Linked DNA regions of Pelodiscus sinensis. Each later gene encodes a partner of the first gene's protein in a complex. Links are inferred from orthologs where the notes say so. Each region holds a gene or a part of one and is shown on either strand. Other genes may lie near its edges. The genes, in order: RAB1B and TBC1D20.

Region 1 (8,776 bases):
GTATGGTGATAGTCCACATGTTGACATCCCTACCCAGACCATCAGTAGTGCCCTTCAGCACCTATCATGACAACATCTCCCTTGGATCCTGCTCCTGCCATCATGCTGTCAGTACACTTCTTAGTTTCCCCACACAACAGGCAGGCACGAGCACTGTCACCACTGCACTGGAAAGAGTCAGAGGTCCCTAGTGCTTGTGACCCAAGAACTCTACTCAGAAGGTGCCACTAAGATACAGCTGTTGCTGATACAGGGACCAGTTGCCCAGCACTGACATACAGCTTGCCTGGGAGGGTGGGTCACAGGTTTACACTTGTACCCCTCTCCTAGTGCTGAGCTGTAGCTTCCCTTAAGGCAAGGGAAGGTAATGGACGCTCTTACAGAAGAGTTCCCCAGGATGTTCAAACCCCATGGCAGGCCTGTATGGGCACTGAGCAAAGAGGCCAAGGCATAGCCAATGTTGTAGTTTCACAGCAGGATGCCAGGCTTTGAGCACTAAGTCCAGCCACAGGGTGTGTAACAAATCTCCATCACCACCAGTTTGATGCTGCTGCAAGACGAACAAACCTTTCCATGATTACCAGATATATGCACGCTGCCTTTCAAGTGCTGCTGCTTCAAGTTGCCCTAGAATCTTTTGCACCATCCCCCGATACTTCCAAGGATTCATGTGGGATTAGTACAATCAATCATCAGGCATTTGATTGCTTCTGGCATAGGAGGGCTTGATGTAACAATCAACAGGCCAATGTAGCTCACCATGCCAGCTGCATCATCCCTCACTGGCCCAACTAGCCTGGGCACACAAGCAAGTTAAACTGACAGTAGGCAATGCACACACACCCCATTTCCTGAGTGTGTTTTGCTAGTGGCAAGAGGACAGGAAGCCCTGACTCATGCTAACTCCTGTCACTTTCCCTTTGATTCAACATGCATAGATAGAGGTTTTGGGATGGTCCCAACCTGACTTCAATGGGGGAGCACGACTAGTTAGCCAAGAAAATGCACCCCTACAGGTCAAAAATTCAGCAAACAAATGCTGGTTCAGTTTGAGACTGCCCAAACCCCACCCACTATTTCTGGAGTTTCCATACTCCTGGTGCCTTTCACACAATAGCCTCAGGGGTGGGGAACTATTTTTAGGTCAGGAGCTGCTGACCCACAGAAAAAGAGTCAGTCAGGGGCTGCACACAAATGAAAAGTAACACACCAAAACCCTCACTGAAGCAGCCCCTGATTGAGAAGAATAAAGACATTCTCCACATTCACCTCACACACCAGAACCTGGGGGGGAGGAAGGGAGGGAGCACTACACTAGTAGACTCTGTGCTCCAGCCCCATGTAGGGATAGCTGGGGGGGGGGGGGGTGGCACAAGGGGAGGAGCTGGCACACCAATGCTGACTCCCCAGTGCTGGGGAGGAGCCCTGAGCCTCAGGGGCTGGATCCAGGCAAGCCAGGGGCCATATCGGGCCCCTATGTTGCCCTTCCCTGCCATAGCCATCTTCATGCATTTCAGACACTTCACCCACACCTGTAAAGCAGCCACTTCTGGGGTGGGAAATAGCAACTGTTAAACAGCCAACAAAGCTACTAGCAAGAGCACAATCCTGTATCCATTTGAAACTGCAGAGAGAGGGGTCTTACGGTAACAAAATAGAATGGCCCAAGAATGGCTGAGAAGAAAAAGGGCATTGGGCTCCATGAGATCAGATTCTTATTTGAAAGGCAGAATCACAGGAACCAGAGTGCCAGATCTTGGCTCTGACAAGCTGCTATGAAAAGTTTGAGGGCAGCTGCATTCAGAAAGGCAGCCAGCACACTTGAGAAGTAGGGGAAGGATCTGGTGTGCCCCAACAATTCAATAGGGAGTTCTGCCAGTCTGATGGACATTTTCTTTCCCAGAAAGCTCCTCTCACTCACAAAGCCACCTGCCATTAGTACTAAACGGCTGCTCAGAGAGGCCACACTCCTAGCTTAATCTGATCAGGGCCAGACCCCCAGAGCCATCTGAGTTGCTATTGCTTTCACCGCCTTCCTCCAGCAAGCAAGCAATTTGGACAAGGCCTTCTGCCCAGGTCTCCCAACAGCTAGCAAGAATCAGCTTCCCTATGTGCCCACTTTGATGTGGCTCCAAAAAGGCCATTCCTGAGCTCTCTCAAGGGCCCCAGAACGACAGTCACAAACAAGTTCTGGAAGCAGTCAGAGCACTTCCCACTTCAGTCAGTGCAGGTCAGTCTAGTGCAGGGCTACTCAACTTTGGAAGCGGGGGGTGGGGGACGACGACGACAATGCCTCAAAGCACATGCTGAGGGCTGCAACTTAAGTGTGGTTGTATATACACACACACGTAAATATATGCAAACAGCTTCGTTCACACTGACGGGCATGAGTACAAGACACTTTTCACAATGCCCTGGGGCTCACAGCACCTCCTCTCTGGAGGCTAGAAATGCCGACACCCTGTACCCATCTGTTCCAACCAGCCTGTCCAGTTGCGTCTTTCAGTGCTCACCCCAACTGGGAGATGCCCCACTGTTGGGAAGTGTGTTCTCAGTAGAGGCCATGTTCAAAGGATCCCACCCACAAGCCACATGTTGAGCCCCACGTAAACCAAAACCACACCGTGGGCCTCAAGCAAATAGGACACGTGTTCAGTAGCCCTGGTCTAGTAGGAAGGGCATTCCACATCCCTTGCAGTGGAAGCAGCAGTGGAGGATTTAAAGCAGGCCTGTGAATCACAAACTGGACTCTTCCCCTCTACTACTGAGAAGCAGCTATGATAATTAGCAGTGGGTCCCTTTCATTAAAACAAGATGCTGTGGTGTATAGCCATCACCACAGAGAGGAAGGTTCAAGTCCAAAAGCATTGCATCGAAATGCAACAGTTTGTAAGGGCACCCCCCTGTGGTGGAAAGCCCACCCCCCGAAACACATGGGGTGAAGCCCCCCAGGTTACAGGAGGGCAATGGGCAAATGCAACCCTCTGCCAAGGCCTGAATGGGCGCAGACACATCAGCCCTTGAGAGAAAGGCTGGCGCCGTTGATTAGGCCACCAACCTAGACACGGGGCACCCAGCTCAGAGACTCCCTGTCCATGGGCCAGTGGCTCGGGTCTCATTTACACACGTAGCCCCGCTCTGCTGCCCCCAGCCTGGTTGCCGCTGGAGCGCGCCTGCTACCCCGGGCCGCAAGGAGGGCGGGTGGCGAGCGTGTTCTCGGAGTAACCCTGCCCACCCTGGGACAGAACCCCCCCCCCCCCCGCCACCCTGGGACAGAACCCCCCCCCCCCGCCACCCTGGGACAGAACCACCCACCCCCAGGCCTTTGTGACGCGCCGCGACCACGGGCCCGATCCCCCCCCGACCGCCTCTCGGCAGGCGCTGGGGCAGACGGAGCCACCCCGCAGGGAGCTGCGCTTCCCGGGGCCGCTCTCCCCTGGAGCGGTCTCCCCCGCCCCCACCCGGCGCTGGGGGGCCGAGAGGGGAACTGACGGGCCCGTGACGGGGCAGCTCCAGGGCGGGCCGGGCAGAGGAGGCGGGGGTCCCGGCCGGGGGGCGCCCCGCAGGCACGGAAGGGCAGCAGGGGCGGGGCCACGGGGATGTGAGGGCGGGCGGCTCCGGGGTCCTAGCCGGGGTGAGGGAAGCTGCCGCGAGGGGCTTCAGCCCGCCTGAGGCACGGGGGTCCCGGTCCCGCCCCTGCCCTCGCACTCACTACTCGGGGTTCATGGCGGCGCCCCCGCGATGGTTTCGGCTCCTCCTCACTCACAAGATGGCGGCGGCCTGCGGCTTCCCCCCTTTCGGTCCTTCCCCCTCCCCTCTAAGGGGTGGCTCTACCAATGCGCAAGTGCGGAGTACAGCCCCCCGGCACCATGGGATATGTAGTATCTCCGCTTGCGCTTGGCCACGCCCCTTTCCTCCGCAGCTGAACTCATGACCTCATCAAAGGCGTGGTTTCTCGTGCCCAGGCTTCACGCGCGCTACGTCCAGATGCTCCGCCCTTTGCGTCAGGCACGCAATCCCTGACGGGATATGTAGTTTTTTTGCCGGACGCTCAGTGTCTCTTTCACTTAAGCCTACAGCCGCAAAAGCCCCTGGGCCCTGTAGTTTCTTCACCAGATCAAGCTAACTTCAGAACCCATGAGCTACAGAGCACCAGGGTTGGGACCAGGACTTTTGGGTTCTAGCCCCAGCTCTGGGAGGGGAGAGGGTCTAGCGGTTATAACCAGGAATTAGGACTCTAGAGGTGCACAAGTAAACCACTGGTTGCATGGGTCACCGTTACCTTTAGCCTGTGTTGCATTTGCCTCTAAAGCTAATTTCAGTGAAACACATTCTTGTGCTTGCATCACGGGACAGGGGAAAGTGACACTCCCAATCCATCTTTCAAATGCCCCGTTCTTAGGGTTATGTGCAACCCAGTGCTACAGAACAGGACCTGCATTTAGTACAGTCGTGGGCAATAATTTTGACCGGGGGGGGGGCACTTAAGGAAATTTTGGTATATGGTCACGGCCATGCTCCACACCTGGAAGAGATGGGGCTTGGGCGGAAGGGGTGGGGCTGGGGAATCCTAGAACTCTAGAACTGTAAGGGACCTCGAGAGGTAATTGAGTCCAGTCCTCTGGCCTCACAGCAGGACCCGTACCATCTAGACCATCCCTGAGAGATGTCTATCTAACCTGCTCTTAAATATCTCCAGAGATGGAGATTTCATAACCTCCCTAGGCAATTTATTCCAGTGTTTAACCACCCTGACAGGAAGTTTTTCCTAATGTCCAACCTAAACCTCCCTTGCTGCAGTTTAAACCCATTGCTTCTTGTCCTGTCCTCAGAGGCTAAGAGAACAATTTTTCTCCCTCCTCCTTGTGACACCTTTTTAGATACCTGAAAACCGCTATCATGTCCCCTCTCAGTCTTCTCCTTTCCTAACTAAACAAGCCCAATTCTTTCAGTCTTCCTTCATAGCTCATGTTCTTTAGCTCTTTAATCATTCTTGTTGCTCTTCTCTGGACCTCCAATTTCTCCACATCTTTCCTGAAATGTGGTGCCCATTGCTCAGTGAGGAGAGAGAAACAGTAACAGGAAACTTGGAAATGGCAGAGGTGCTTAATGACGTCTTTGTTTCGGTATTCACCAAGAAGTCTGATGATGAAGGAATGTCTAACATAGTGAATACTAGGGGAATGGGGTAGGTTTAGAAGATTAAAAAAAAACAAGTTAAAAATCACTTAGAAAAGTGAGATGTCTTCAAGTCACCAGGGCCTGATGAAATGGAGCTCATAGAGGAGGTATCTGAGTCCTTAGCTATCATCTTTGAAAAATCATGGAAGACTGGAAAAGGGCAAATTAGTGCCCTTCTATAAAAAGGGAAATAAGAACAACCCAGGAAACTATAGACCAGTCAGCTTAACTTCTGTGCCAGGGAAGATATTGGAGCAAGTAATTAAGGAATTCATCTGCAAACACCTGAAAGATAATAAAGTGATAGGTAACAGCCAGCATGGATTTGTAAAGAACAAATCATGTCAAACCAATCTGATAGTTTTCTTTGGTAGGATAACGAGTTTTGTGGATAAGGGACAAGCGGTGGACGTGGTATACCTAAACTTTAGCAAGGCATTTGATACAGTATCGCATGATCTTATCAGTAAACTAGGCAAATACAACTTAGTTGGGGCTAGTATAAGGTGGGTGCATAACTGGCTGGATAACCATTCTTAGAGAGTAGTTATTAACGGTACACAATCCTGCTGGAAAAACAAGTGGGGCTTCACAGAGGTCTGTTTTGGACCGGTTCTGTTCAATATCTTCATCGACGATTTAGGTATTGGCATAGAGAGTATGCTTATTAAGTTTGCAGATGATACGAAGCGGGGAGGGGTTGCAACTAAGGATGTTAAATATCAGTTAATTCACTAGTCAAGTAGTAAATTCACTAGTCAATAGGCACTTCCGCATTCCTCCTTTGAAATGAGGAATGCAGAACTTTGCGTGCAGCCCGGGTCCAGCAGGAAGTCCTGCTAATTCTGGGCTGAACGTGGGCATGCCAGCTTTGAAATGTACAAGAGTCCCCAGGATGGGACTCAGAGTCCCCCACTGATTCCAGGCTCCATAAGGGTGCTTCCACTTTGAAATGCCACGTAGAGACCAGAGTCACCTGGGGAGTCCCCAGCTGACCGCAGGCACCATACAGCAGCTGCCACTTTGAAACACTGAGGTGGCGTTTCAAAGGGGCAGCACCACATTGCTGAGCAGGGGGTCAGCTGTGAGGCACCGCCACTTTGAAATACTCCCTCTTTCCCCTCACTTTGCTGCCTCTGATAGAAGCAGCAAGTGGGGGGCGGAATCGACTAGTCAACTAGTCATTAACATCCTTAGTTGCAACTGCTTTGGAGGCTAGGGTCATAATTCAAAATGATCTTGAGAAACTGGAGAAATGGCCTGAGGTAAATAGGATGAAGTTTAATAAGGACAAATACAAAGTACTCCACTTAGGAAGGAAAAATCTGTGTCACGCATACAGAATGGGAAGTGACTGTCTAGGAAGGAGTACTGCAGAAAGGGATCTAGGGGTTATAGTGGACTACAAGATAAATATGAGTCAACAGTGTGACGCTGTTGCAAAAAAAGCAAACGTGATTCTGGGATGCAATAACAAGGAGTGTTGTGAGCAAGACATGAGAAGTCATTCTTCCGCTCTACTCTGCGTTGATTAGGCCTTTCTAATCTTGCCCCTGCATTCCTGTATTCTTTGCTTATATTCATCCTTTGTAATTTGTCTTAGTTCCCACTTTTTATACAACACCTTTTTGATGTTTAGATCATTCAAGATCCCCTGGTGAAGCCAAGGCGGTCTTTTGCCTGACTGGCCTCCTCCCAGAACTGTCTGGGGCCAGAAACTTTGAATTAAAATTACAGCAAAGTGCTTGTAGCTCCTGCCCCGCCACTACTACGTTGCCTGGTAGATGCCTGGGGTTGCTGCGGCTATTTAAAAGGTTCGCAGCTCCAGCCTCTGCCAGGGTAGCACTGCCACCTGGAGCAGGGAACCATTTAAATAGGATCCTGCTGCCTGAGCCTCTACATGGAAATTCAGTGGCACAGGCAACAGGATATAAATAGAGAGCAGCCAGATGCAGTTCGGGGGCCGGATCAAAGCGTTAGGCGGGCTGGATCAGGCCCCGGGGCTACATCTTGCCCTGCCCTGATCTAGAACTTAATTATGAGGCTGGCTGCAGAAATGATGGGGAGCAGTGCCCGCTGGCTTGGGTGATAGATTTTGTCTGTTCATCTATAATCCTCGGGGATCTCATGCAGCCCCCCATGTGGACAGCGTTTTAGATGCTCAAGAGCACCATACTCTATGCAATAAATACCCCTGACACATATAGTTGTCCCACTAGAAGGGTCCATCGGGCACATCCAGAGCAGGGGTATAGAAGAAAGAGTCTGTCCAGATACTGTTGGGAGCAGGACAGGAACACTGGCTGCAGGGGCAGCTCACAATTGCCCCATCCCTGGCCTCTTCTAGCAGATGACACTATCAGGACAAGCAAAGGAGCACTAGCTACGCGGGGAGCTCCTCCCTGACCATTCCACAGCCTGCTTCTCCCAGTGAGGAGCACTCACAGCATGGGGGAAGCTCTGGGCTACTCCACTCTAGGATACTCCTGCAGGAAACACTCGGGGTAGGGGGAGCTGGCTGAGGAGCTCCCAGCTTCTCCTAGCAGTGAGTGCTATAGGGTATGAAGTAGGAACTGTGGGGCCTGACCCACAGGGTGAGGGGACTTCTGGCTACTCCAGCCCTGGCCGTCCATGTGGGGGCATCATAAAGAACATAGCAAGGAATAGCAGAGTTCCAGGCTGGCACCCATGATATTTCATAGAATACAGAGAAGGAGCCAAAATACAACATATTCCTGTTGAACGACTGAACCACAATGCTATATTATTTCTGAGAAATCACAATACAAACATAGCAACCCAGCTAGCGAGAGAGAAAGCCCCTTGCTCTCTAAAAATCAGAATGGTCCAGCTCACCTCACTTTGCCGTAGGCTGACTGGTTGCAAACCAACTCTGCTGAAATGCATGTAGGCTTTACTGCAGAGCCCTCTAGCCTGCAAGCAGAACCAGGAACCCGTGTTCAGCCTCCCAAGCGATAGCATGCTGCTGCAATTCCAGCACGGTTCTCAATGCACCACCGCTGTGCTCTCACGCTGGGGCTACTGTCCTGGGAATCCCATTGCTGGGCTCTCCCCTACCCAAGTCATGGATACGTTCTCCCGGGGCCTGCCTGAGCAGGGGCACCTCTCCTGAATAGTCTGACGCCTCTGCGGGATGGGGGAGGCTACTGGGTCCTCCCCCCAAAGTTTAGAGGAGAGGGTCAGCCAGGCTCTTTGGAGGGTTAGGGACAGGGAGGAAGGAAAGCTTCCAAGACCATTACAAGGACTGAGGGCACACGGGTGGGACTACTCCAGTCCATCAGCATATCCAGCAGCTCTGATTTGCTGCCCTTCCCCAGGCAGCCAGAAAAGGTAGCCAATCAGAGGGAGCTTCACAACAGCATGGGTTGGAGTGACAGTAACGGAGAGACAACAGGGGACAGGGACATGAGAAATGAATAGAAGTATCTATATTTGGGGTGGGGACAGGCATTGTCCATATGCAAATGTATCCAAATTGCTGGCAGGGGCGCACCAGGTGGTGCTTTTCCTCCAGCCCCAGCTCCCAGAGCCCTGGGCCAATGGGCTAATCACAGCCCATCTTTCTGTGCTGGCA
Region 2 (9,227 bases), on another chromosome or scaffold:
GCTGTAACACCTGCAGGATGATGTCGATCAGCTCTTCCTGGAGCCCTTCCCTCTGCTCATCTGGCATCCCTGTGGGGACAGCAGCAGATGGGCCTTGCATCAGGCTGAGCCGGAGCCCTGACAAGGTGCCTGCCACGTACTGCATCATCCGCCCACAGGAGCCACGTCTCACCAGCCGTTGGATGCAGACACGCTGCAATCTCCAGGGCCTGACAGCTATCAACTGGCCCTATCTGAGTGTGGCCTGCGCATGGGGCTAGAGACCAGCAACTCGTGGGTTCTCATCCTTGTTCCGGGACCTCCCGCTCCCCAATGGCCTTTGCAGAGTTGCTTAACCTTTTGTGCAGCAGTTTCTCCACCTGCACAATGGGAACATTAATATTCCCTTTGCAAGAAAAAGGGGGTATTTACTAGTGTTCGTAAAGCATCCTGAAGGTTAAATTAAAGATGTTAAATTGCGAGTAACTGACTAAACAAATAGTCAATGCATTTTGCATCAACTATTCAATTAGTCGATAGGGCGTCTGAAGTTGCTGCACTTCAAAGGCAAAAGTGCCACATGGAGCCTGAGGTCAGCTGGGGATTCCCCCGGGCTCCGTGCGGCCCTGCCACTTTGAAACGCCGCGGGGAGCTTGACGTCAAGCTCCTCGTGGCATTTCAAAGTGGTAGCACCCCGTGGAGCCTGGGATCAGCTAGGGACTCCTCCACTGCCACTTTGAAATGCCACATGCCGCCTGGGGACGCTGCCGCTTTCAAGTACCCCCCCCCCCCCCGCTGCCTCCTTCTGAGAGAGGCAGCAAGACAGGGAAAGTGACTAGTCGTTCACATCCCTAGGTTAAATTAATTATTTTTAGTATCCCAGAAGTCCTAAGAAATAAAACAATCCTCTTTTGTGAAAACTCTGTTGAGTGTGCAAAACTCACAGGCGCCACTGTCCTGCCCACCTCTAGACAGGGGTCTGTGTGTGGACAGAATGCATCTGTGGAACAGAACACCACATGTAGAGAAAACAGCACACGCACCCCCTTTGGCCAGGACCTGTATAAGTAGATACGGTGCCCCACGGCGGAACGAGCATCTCGCAAGCCCAAGCAAGGTTCAGACAACACAAAGATCTCTAAGCATTGTCAAAATACGGCCATTCCAGAGCAATAGGGTGCTAGCAGAAGCGTGAGCTGCAGAGATCTGCAGGGTGTCCACAATATACAGATAAGCTGAACGTGCTGACTGTTTATATGGAAGAAAAAAGCAGGCAGTGAAAACCAATTCCTGCCCAGGAGCAACAAGCAGCTGCTCTGCAAAGTCAGACGAGTGCAAAAGGGTCTATAAATAACACCAGGCACCAGCCAACCACAGGAACTAAGCAAATGCAAGAAGCTTTTGTCATTAAATGTTGAGAGTTGTTTTAGGCTGATGCATGAGAGTCACTGGAAAGAACACACTTTAGCAACGCTTAAAAAACAAAATCCATTTAAATCAGTAGCGAACGCAGGTTTCAAACCCAGATGTGTCTCTGCCCAAGGTACACAGAGGCAATGGTAAACCCCTCAAACACCAGACATGACTGTCACATCGAATGAACAGCAGTACATGGCAGGGCTGGCTATATCTGAGTCAGGCCCCTCTAAATACAGGGAGAGTTTTAACGGCAAGAGAGGGGCCAGCAGAATGAATCAGCGAGTTACGGATGAGAATTTTGTGTGGAAAGAACATGCTGAAAACCAGCTGCAGTGCAAGGAGAAGCCTGAGGCCATCTCTGAAGTGGGTGTTGGGCAAACAGAGGGGAAAGGCCTTTCCATTTCGGCGGGCCCCTGGAGGGTTGCTCCTACAGCTCTGCTGTGGCCCTAGAAGAGAGGCTGCACTGCACGGAGCTGGGGGGACAAGGTGCTCCTGGTGGCCACAGAACAGAGAGACCAGCTCACCGGGTGGGAAGCGGCGCAGGGATCGCCTCACGTCCAGCAGCACCTGCTGGTAGTCTTCATTGTCCTCTCGCAGCTCCTTCCCTGATGGAGAAAGAAGCACACTGCAAATCCAAGCAGGCCACCAAGCAGCATCTGCAGTGCCAGAGAAGAACGCTGTACAAGTCAAGGCTGAAACGTAGGCCGCAACTGCTCCTGAACCCAATTTTAGATCCCCGTTTCTACTTGTTACACACAAGCCCAGCGCTCTGCCTTTTACTGCTGTACACTCTGGCGTGGCCAATACCAACGTACGCCGTTCCAGAGCCAGACACCAAGACATTAATCTCTTTGGTACAAATACCGTTTCAAGATCCTTACATCATCTCTCCTTTGTCCTTCGGCTAAGTTCTTGCTCCATCACCATGCCACTGGAGTTAGGCAAAATATAGCTAAGACATGACACAGAGCAGCCGCAACTCACACGTTTAATAAATAGAAACTGAGTGAAATGAAGCATGGGTAGTTAAGATATTTAAAGCACTGTAAGTGGAAAGAAATCATTAGCATGCCATAAGCCATGCAAGCAGCTGCGTGGAGCTGAACATAAATCCCAGGTCTCCTGATCTGCATTTTTACAGCAACCATAGCTATCCAAGGACAACCAGGAATATACACACTTTTGAACAGATACTTCTGCTCACAAAAACCCATCTTATGCTCTGGGAGCAGTGGAAATAAAAAACACCACATATGGAACGCCTCCATTCAGTGTTCCCTCTTTTTTCCATTCCTGCGTGGAATAAATTTTGTTCTGTGCACCAAGGCAGGTGCAACTGTGCACCACCATTAGAAACACATGGTTCGGCTGTGGGCGTTCTGCTAATCAGCTGGGCGGCATCTGAATCTTTCTTGGGTGACTACTCAGGCACTCAGCTTACAGGGAATACAGCCTCCATGTCTGTGTCTCATTAAAAAGCAAGTTTTCCTTCCCTCAGATGTGACTTCTTCTATGTACAAGCTTCAATTTACAGTAATTTGGCCACTGCTTCACCCATGCCTGGGATAGGAACTTCCATTTAGTATTCAAGAAACCACGCTCCCATTTATGACAATGGAAGTTAAACTAGATATATTTGCAACGTGGCATTTTTTTGGTTTAACTAACATGCATTTTGGAAGCTAATCACACCGGATTGCACCAGCTGTGTTCCACACAATGTGGCCTAAAAGTAAAAGGGCTCTTACAGTGCAATGGAAAAATAATAAATTCAGGTAATTCCTGGATCTGCTATTAGCATAATTAAATACGTTAACACAGGTAAAACCACGGGCATCAGTCTGTGCAATTGTGACTCTCAAGCAAGCATCATGGAAAAGGCATCTTCGTTGACAGGAAAAACCCCACAAGTTACAAACAGCAGAACTCCAGCCCCAAGTACGTACAAAGATCTCTCAAGTTGGTCCCAAAGCACAACGGGCGACTCTGTACCTGGCGGAGGCGGCAGATCCTCTGTCTTCACATTGAGAAGATTTGGCCACACTTTGCAACGAATCTCGTCTGTCAGGAGACCCCCTTCGCTGATTGCCATTCGTCTGAGTGCAGCCACATCAATAGGGTCGCTGTTCAGGGCCTGATAAATCTCCGCTACTTTCCTTTGCTTCTTAGAATTATAGTCTGCAAGAGGCACACCACCCAAAGGGTTAGGCTTCCAGCTACTGGCCAGCATGCAAAAGGAAGGCACAGACTGACTTAGCTCACAATGCAAAGACTATATAAGACAACTGATTGAACACACACATTGGGTCACTCTGTCTAGAGATGGGAGAGGCCTAAGAGATGATTCACTCTGTTTCTTCAGGGCCAGATTATATAGAACCCATCATCAATGGATACCAAAGCATCTTGACCAATGGCCAGGCAGAACAGAGGCACTTTCACTGCGCCTCCTCCCTTCTACCAGCTCTGAAGTTCCTTCCCAGCCCCCTGCGAGATCTCTCTGCTTGCATCTGCAGAACTGTAGTGCCTATTGCAATCGCTAATGCTACCAGGACTTTCTTGTCCTTCAATTCAAACATGGTGTCAACAGAACTGCCACTGCACCGGATGCAGTAGTTACTATTCAAAGTCACTTACAACTGTTTGCCTTCATGGCCTGGATGGCTCAGCTTCCAGCTGAGAGGTCAAAAGTTTTACAAGACTGGGGCGCAGTCTGTGTTCCTACTGGCTGGCAACTAGACTCTAGTATTGTTCGGTTGAGCTTGCCCCACCAAATCGGTACCTAGAAATACCACCTAACTGAAAATTTCCCCATGCTGCCCTATGCACTCAGGGGACCTTATTTACATTAGAATTATACTCCATTTTCATACAGATCATAGCCGCCCCCCCCTCCCCCCCCCCCCGTGTTGCTAGGACTGGTCAAATTAATATTTGTAAAGTGAAATGTCAGGGCTAAGCACTATCCAGCAAATACACAATGATGCCTTCGTAAGACATTTGATCTTTAAGGACACGAGGCGGGGAAAAGGACGACACATAACGCATGGACTGAACAGATACAGGATACAGAAATCTTTCCTTAGAGCAGATTCCAGCACAGCCATATTTTCAGTGGGTTCCTTGCCAGCACTATTCTATATTTGGGAAAAGGCAGGCAGCTGAGAATCAGCTGATTTCCATACACTTTGGCAGCAAAATCCTTCTGTATGTGTGAAGGTTTTGTTTGAGATCCAGCCTGCCTTCAGAAACTTTTCCAACAGGATCCTGTTTTTGCAGCTTCAGTCAAAACCCCTCTCACAATCCATTATAAGGCCCTTTTGATTTGAACTGTATTCAATTCATATTAAGTCAGTCAGGATGGGATTTTTTTTATGGGGGGAGGGGGATCTGAAACTGGCCTAATGGAGAAATCTGTTCATTTTCCTACCGTGATTTCACTGACTGAAGTTTACAGTAGCCCATTGAACATTTGACACCAGAGGTGTTTCCTGCCCCCTGCTCATGCACACTTGTTTGCTACTGGAGAGCTACTCCAGAGTGCTCAGTTTAGCACATTATGTTCTGAAGTCTCTGAAGGAGAGAAATGAGCATGACAGGATTTTCAAACACCTGCAAACAAGCAAGGAGGTCAAGTTGTGGATGGGACCCATCTAAACAGCCCCCCTTTCAAAACTCACTTTTTTGTATAGCTTGTTTTTCAACCAAGTTCTGTTTAGTTTTTGACAGGACTGCAGCTCCCTTATAAGAAACAAGTCTCCTGATGTCAATAGGCAGAGAAAGTTATCAAAACCACACCCAGCAGTTCTAGTATCCATGTATTTCCTTCTTTTGGCCGCACAACCAAGAAGTTACCTTTTTTCTACTCAGTTACTGCCTAACGCTTGAATGTCAGCACAAACATGGGATTGGCACCCAGTGAATGAATCAAGGAAGAGGAGGAGAGAAAGCTTACAAAAGAGAAAGCTCCTGTTTTATACTAAAAGAATTTAAGCAGCAACACCAAGGAAAGAAAATATGTGCTGCACTGGCCTCCCCCACATTCAATTATTTTTAACTTTTACCAGCATGAACATCAAGAACCGTTGTGTGGGGGTGGAAAGAATGCATGTTGTCAAACATGTTTTTGATCCACCACCAACTTCTACTCAAGTCCCCAGCAAGTATCAATCACCAACACCCTCTTCGAGAGAAACGTGCAGCCACAGGGATGAGATGGGTTTTATTATACAAGTAATTCCTGGTCCTCCATAAAAATAAGGCTCAGCTGGCTAGTGGATTTTGTTTTATGTCCAGGACTAAAGAGCCTGGGACAGATGCTCTCTTTCCAACAGCTAAATAAAGACATAAAACAAAGATGCAGATGATCACCAAGGCTGCTGAAGGCCTACATAGAGAGGGTCACATGTTCCAGTTTCTGATTTCAGCAATTATGCTGCAGAACTCTACATTTCAATGGTACGAGGAAAGAGACGGCACTGGCTCCCCAGTGATAATATTGAACGTGTAAGTAACACTTTGTAAAGACTGCAGCCCTCCTATGAAGGCAGCAAATATTCTCTCATTTTACAGATGAGAAAACTGAGGCTCAAAGACTTCTAAAGGAACTGTCCCATGCCCTACCGAGAACAGAGCTTCCAGACCCACATTCAAACCAGTCGCTGAGCCCGCAGATCCCAGGCAATGGAAGAAGAATTACGTTCCGCTTGTCAAGACACAAAACTAAGCCTTCCCTCTTTGACTTGCTTTTCTGCTAAACACTCATTGGGAGGACTCAGGCGCTTTAAGATAAGCATGGGCACAGCAGCAAGACTGGGCCAACGGCACTGCTATGACGCGAAAGGTGCATTTTTTGTGTTTCAGAAGCACACGAGAGCGGGGCCCTATGGTGGTAGGGGGTGGACAAACACATGAGCCCCAGAGTCTGGCTGGAGGTAAATGGAAGGCAGCCGACAGCAGGAAGGGAAGAAGAGGGGTGACTGGAGGAAGGCAGCAGCTCTGCTACTACCTATTGGCAGAGTGCGATTTGCTTTCTAAAAACGCTTTGGAAGGCCACTGACCCTTTCCCGGGATCATCACAGTCCGGCCCTGCGCCCCCAGGATCTGCGCCTAGTTCTGGGACCAACAGGCACGACCCCTGGGGGTACCCCCAGCGCGGCCTGTCAGCTGGGGTGGCTGCCCACGAGAGTCAAACGCCGCCCCTCGGATCAACAGAGCGCCCGCAGCCTCCCTCCCGGGGGTGCACCGCCGCGCGGGCCCCGGTGCACCGCACAAAATTTATTCCGCACAGGGATGGGAACAGGTTCGAGGGATCCACCCCCCCGCAGCGGGTCACGAAGCCCCGCCCCCGCCGCAGCGCCAGGGCACCCGGAGCCCCGCCCCCCGGGCGTTAACACCGCCCCCCCCCCCGCCAGAAACCGCCGCAACGCTCGAGGGGCCCCGGCGGGGGGCGGGGCTGGCGGCTCGGGGCCCGGGTCCCCCCCCCGCTGGGCCCGGCCCGTACCGTGCGGCGGCGCCGGCCTGCGCAGGGACATGGTCTCCGGGAGCCGCGGCGCATCCCGGCCGGGCGGGGCCCGGCTCCGCTTCCTGCCCCGAGCTCCGCCCCGCCTCCGCGCGCGCGCCCTACGTCCTACGTCACCGCGGCGAGCAGAACGAAGCCATTTTGCGCGTGCGCCTCGGGCTGACACCGCCTCCGGGCTGGGGGGGGCGGGGAAGAGAAGGCAGATGCGCGCGCCGCTCCTCCAGCCCGGGACCCGCCCCTCCCCTGCAATGCTCCTGCCGCCGCGCAGCGCCGGCTCCAGCTTGAAACGGCGCGTGCCGGGCGGGGGAGGAGCACGCGCCGGCCAGCTCCAGCCCGCACGTGCATGGCCCTGGCCGCAGCCAGCGCTGCTTTCTGCATCCCTGCAGGGCTAGCGGACGGCGGGGAGACCCTCCCCCCCCCAGCTTGCACCGGGGGGGGGGGGGGGGCAGAAGGGGTGACAGAGACAGAGCTTTGCCCAGCTGGTGCCAGACTTAGACTAGCCCAAACTAGCACCTGCAGCCACAGCGGGGAGGGGGTGCGCGCATGTGGACAGAAAGCAAATGTTCTGCAGGCTGCGCGGGGCAGAGCAAGCTCGACTAGCAGAGTTTCAGGAGACAGACATGAAGGGCAGCTCACAGGCCTTTGGAAAACAGATTTTTTAACACTGGCCAGACACGTGGGCTGTGTCTACACTGGCATGAATTTCTAGAACTGCTTAAAACGGAATACTATTCCGTTTTCAGTTTTTCCGGAAAAGGAGCGTCTACATTGGCAGGCTGCTTTTCCGGAAAAGCCCTTTTCCTGGAAAAGCGTCTGTGGCCAACGTAGATGCGCTTTTCCGGAAAAAAGCCCCGATTGTCATTTTCGCGATCGGGGCTTTTTTCCAGAAAAGACTACTGGGCTGTCCACACAGGCCCTTTTCCGGAACAGTGTTCCGGAATAAGGACTTATGCCCGAGCAGGAGCAGAATAGTTTTTCCGGAATAGCGGCTGATTTTGTACAGTAGAGCGTCGTTACTTTTCCAGAAATTCAAGGGCCAGTGTAGACAGCTCGCAGCTTATTCCGGAAAAGCGGCTGATTTTCTGGAATAACTGGCCCAGTGTAGACACAGTCGTGGAGAAACTGATCTCAAAGCCAGGAAGATGATATCCATAATCAGAGGAAGACTCAACTAGTTTGTTCTGGGAAACAAGGCTGTTTTCTAGTAGGAGTAGGTAGATGACAGACCTCAAGCTACTGTTATCAATTTCCAGGTTGAATTATGTAAAGCAGGCACTGAAGGACCCAGCCCTGAAACAGGGAGCTTCCTGCCTTGAGCAGGGGGCTGGACTTGATGGCCTTCTGAGGTCTCTTTCAGTTCTATGAATTAGTGCTCACATTCACCTTACATTCTTTACAGCAATACTTAATGTGAACAAAAATCCAGAAGAGGAAAAATATGCTTATGATTTGTTAGAGCACATGTTAACCAAGGCCTCCCCCTCCCCCCCCCACTGTGTGTATCTATGGCTAATTCTAACAGAAGTTGCATGTAGCAAGGAGGGTTTAGCTTAAAGTAGTGGGGGAGTATAGTAGCAGTGTAGAAATGAAAAGAAGAACAATTAGATGTTCATATTATGACAGGCGGAATAATATTCTCTCAAATTCAGTGACAACTCCTCCACAGGTTCTATGAAGGATCAGATAGATCACACCTATATTTCAAAGTTTAGTTTGTTGGCAGACATACGTACACGTGTACAGAGGAGCTGATGCAGGCAGCGACCATAACCTTGGTATCATTAAACAAGTTCAAGAGGATGAAAAGGGTAGAAGACTGTACATACACTATTAAAAGAGCAATTCATTTGAGTTTGCTGAAACCAGTCTTCTTTCAGTTCATTCTAGTAGTCAACTGAAGAAAATCAAGACAGATGCTCTGCAGGAAGACATCAGAGTGTACTATTTAGAAACTGCAATGTGAATCCTAACAGCAACAACATCTAAAAAGGAAAAATGGATTAGCAATATGACTGGGGCAACAATGGAAAAACAGCATAAACAAAAACTCTTGCTTGTTATTAAGACAGATAAGCATGGGGATGAAGACAGAGCTCCAGCCAGAGAGGTAAAAAGGGTTGCTAGAGGAGATACAAAACATATCAAAAGAGTGACCTAACATCCTTGTATAAGGATCAAATATCAAAAGAACCATTAGCAGTACTGGAAGTCCTATTAAAGATGCAAATGGACAGATTGTGTGTGGAAAAACAGAGGAAAAGTTGGGCAAAACAATTTCAGGCTGTTTTAAACTGACCAAGCCCAAGCA

What was found.
Region 2: the proteins of RAB1B (region 1) and TBC1D20 are in contact, whole or in part, in a crystal structure (PDB 4HLQ), measured with the Homo sapiens proteins. The link is inferred for Pelodiscus sinensis from reciprocal best matches to the Homo sapiens genes RAB1B and TBC1D20. Residues at the interface, in NP_112243.1 of Homo sapiens: Ser17, Gly18, Ser36, Tyr37, Ile38, Ser39, Thr40, Ile41, Gly42, Val43, Asp44, Phe45, Gln60, Trp62, Ala65, Gly66, Gln67, Arg69, Phe70, Thr72, Ile73, Tyr77, Glu94; in NP_653229.1 of Homo sapiens: Gln97, Gln98, Leu101, Asp102, Arg104, Arg105, Leu107, Arg108, His141, Tyr142, Tyr143, Gln144, Gly145, His147, Asp148, Phe177, Met178, Asp179, Pro180, Thr181, Met182, Lys186, Val212, Ile215, Leu218, Ser219, Thr223, His227, Met272, Ala273.

Annotation. Positions count from the first base shown.
Region 1 is NC_134721.1:32,065,740-32,074,515, forward strand, and holds the start of RAB1B (ras-related protein Rab-1B), read right to left. Parts: upstream 3,865-8,776; 5' UTR 3,727-3,864; coding exon 3,713-3,726; intron 1-3,712. UniProt on the Homo sapiens protein: The small GTPases Rab are key regulators of intracellular membrane trafficking, from the formation of transport vesicles to their fusion with membranes.
Region 2 is NC_134728.1:2,049,811-2,059,037, forward strand, and holds the start of TBC1D20 (TBC1 domain family member 20), read right to left. Parts: upstream 3,644-9,227; 5' UTR 3,629-3,643; coding exon 3,391-3,628; intron 2,004-3,390; coding exon 1,923-2,003; intron 70-1,922; coding exon 1-69. UniProt on the Homo sapiens protein: GTPase-activating protein (GAP) specific for Rab1 and Rab2 small GTPase families for which it can accelerate the intrinsic GTP hydrolysis rate by more than five orders of magnitude. Also shows GAP activity for RAB18 GTPase.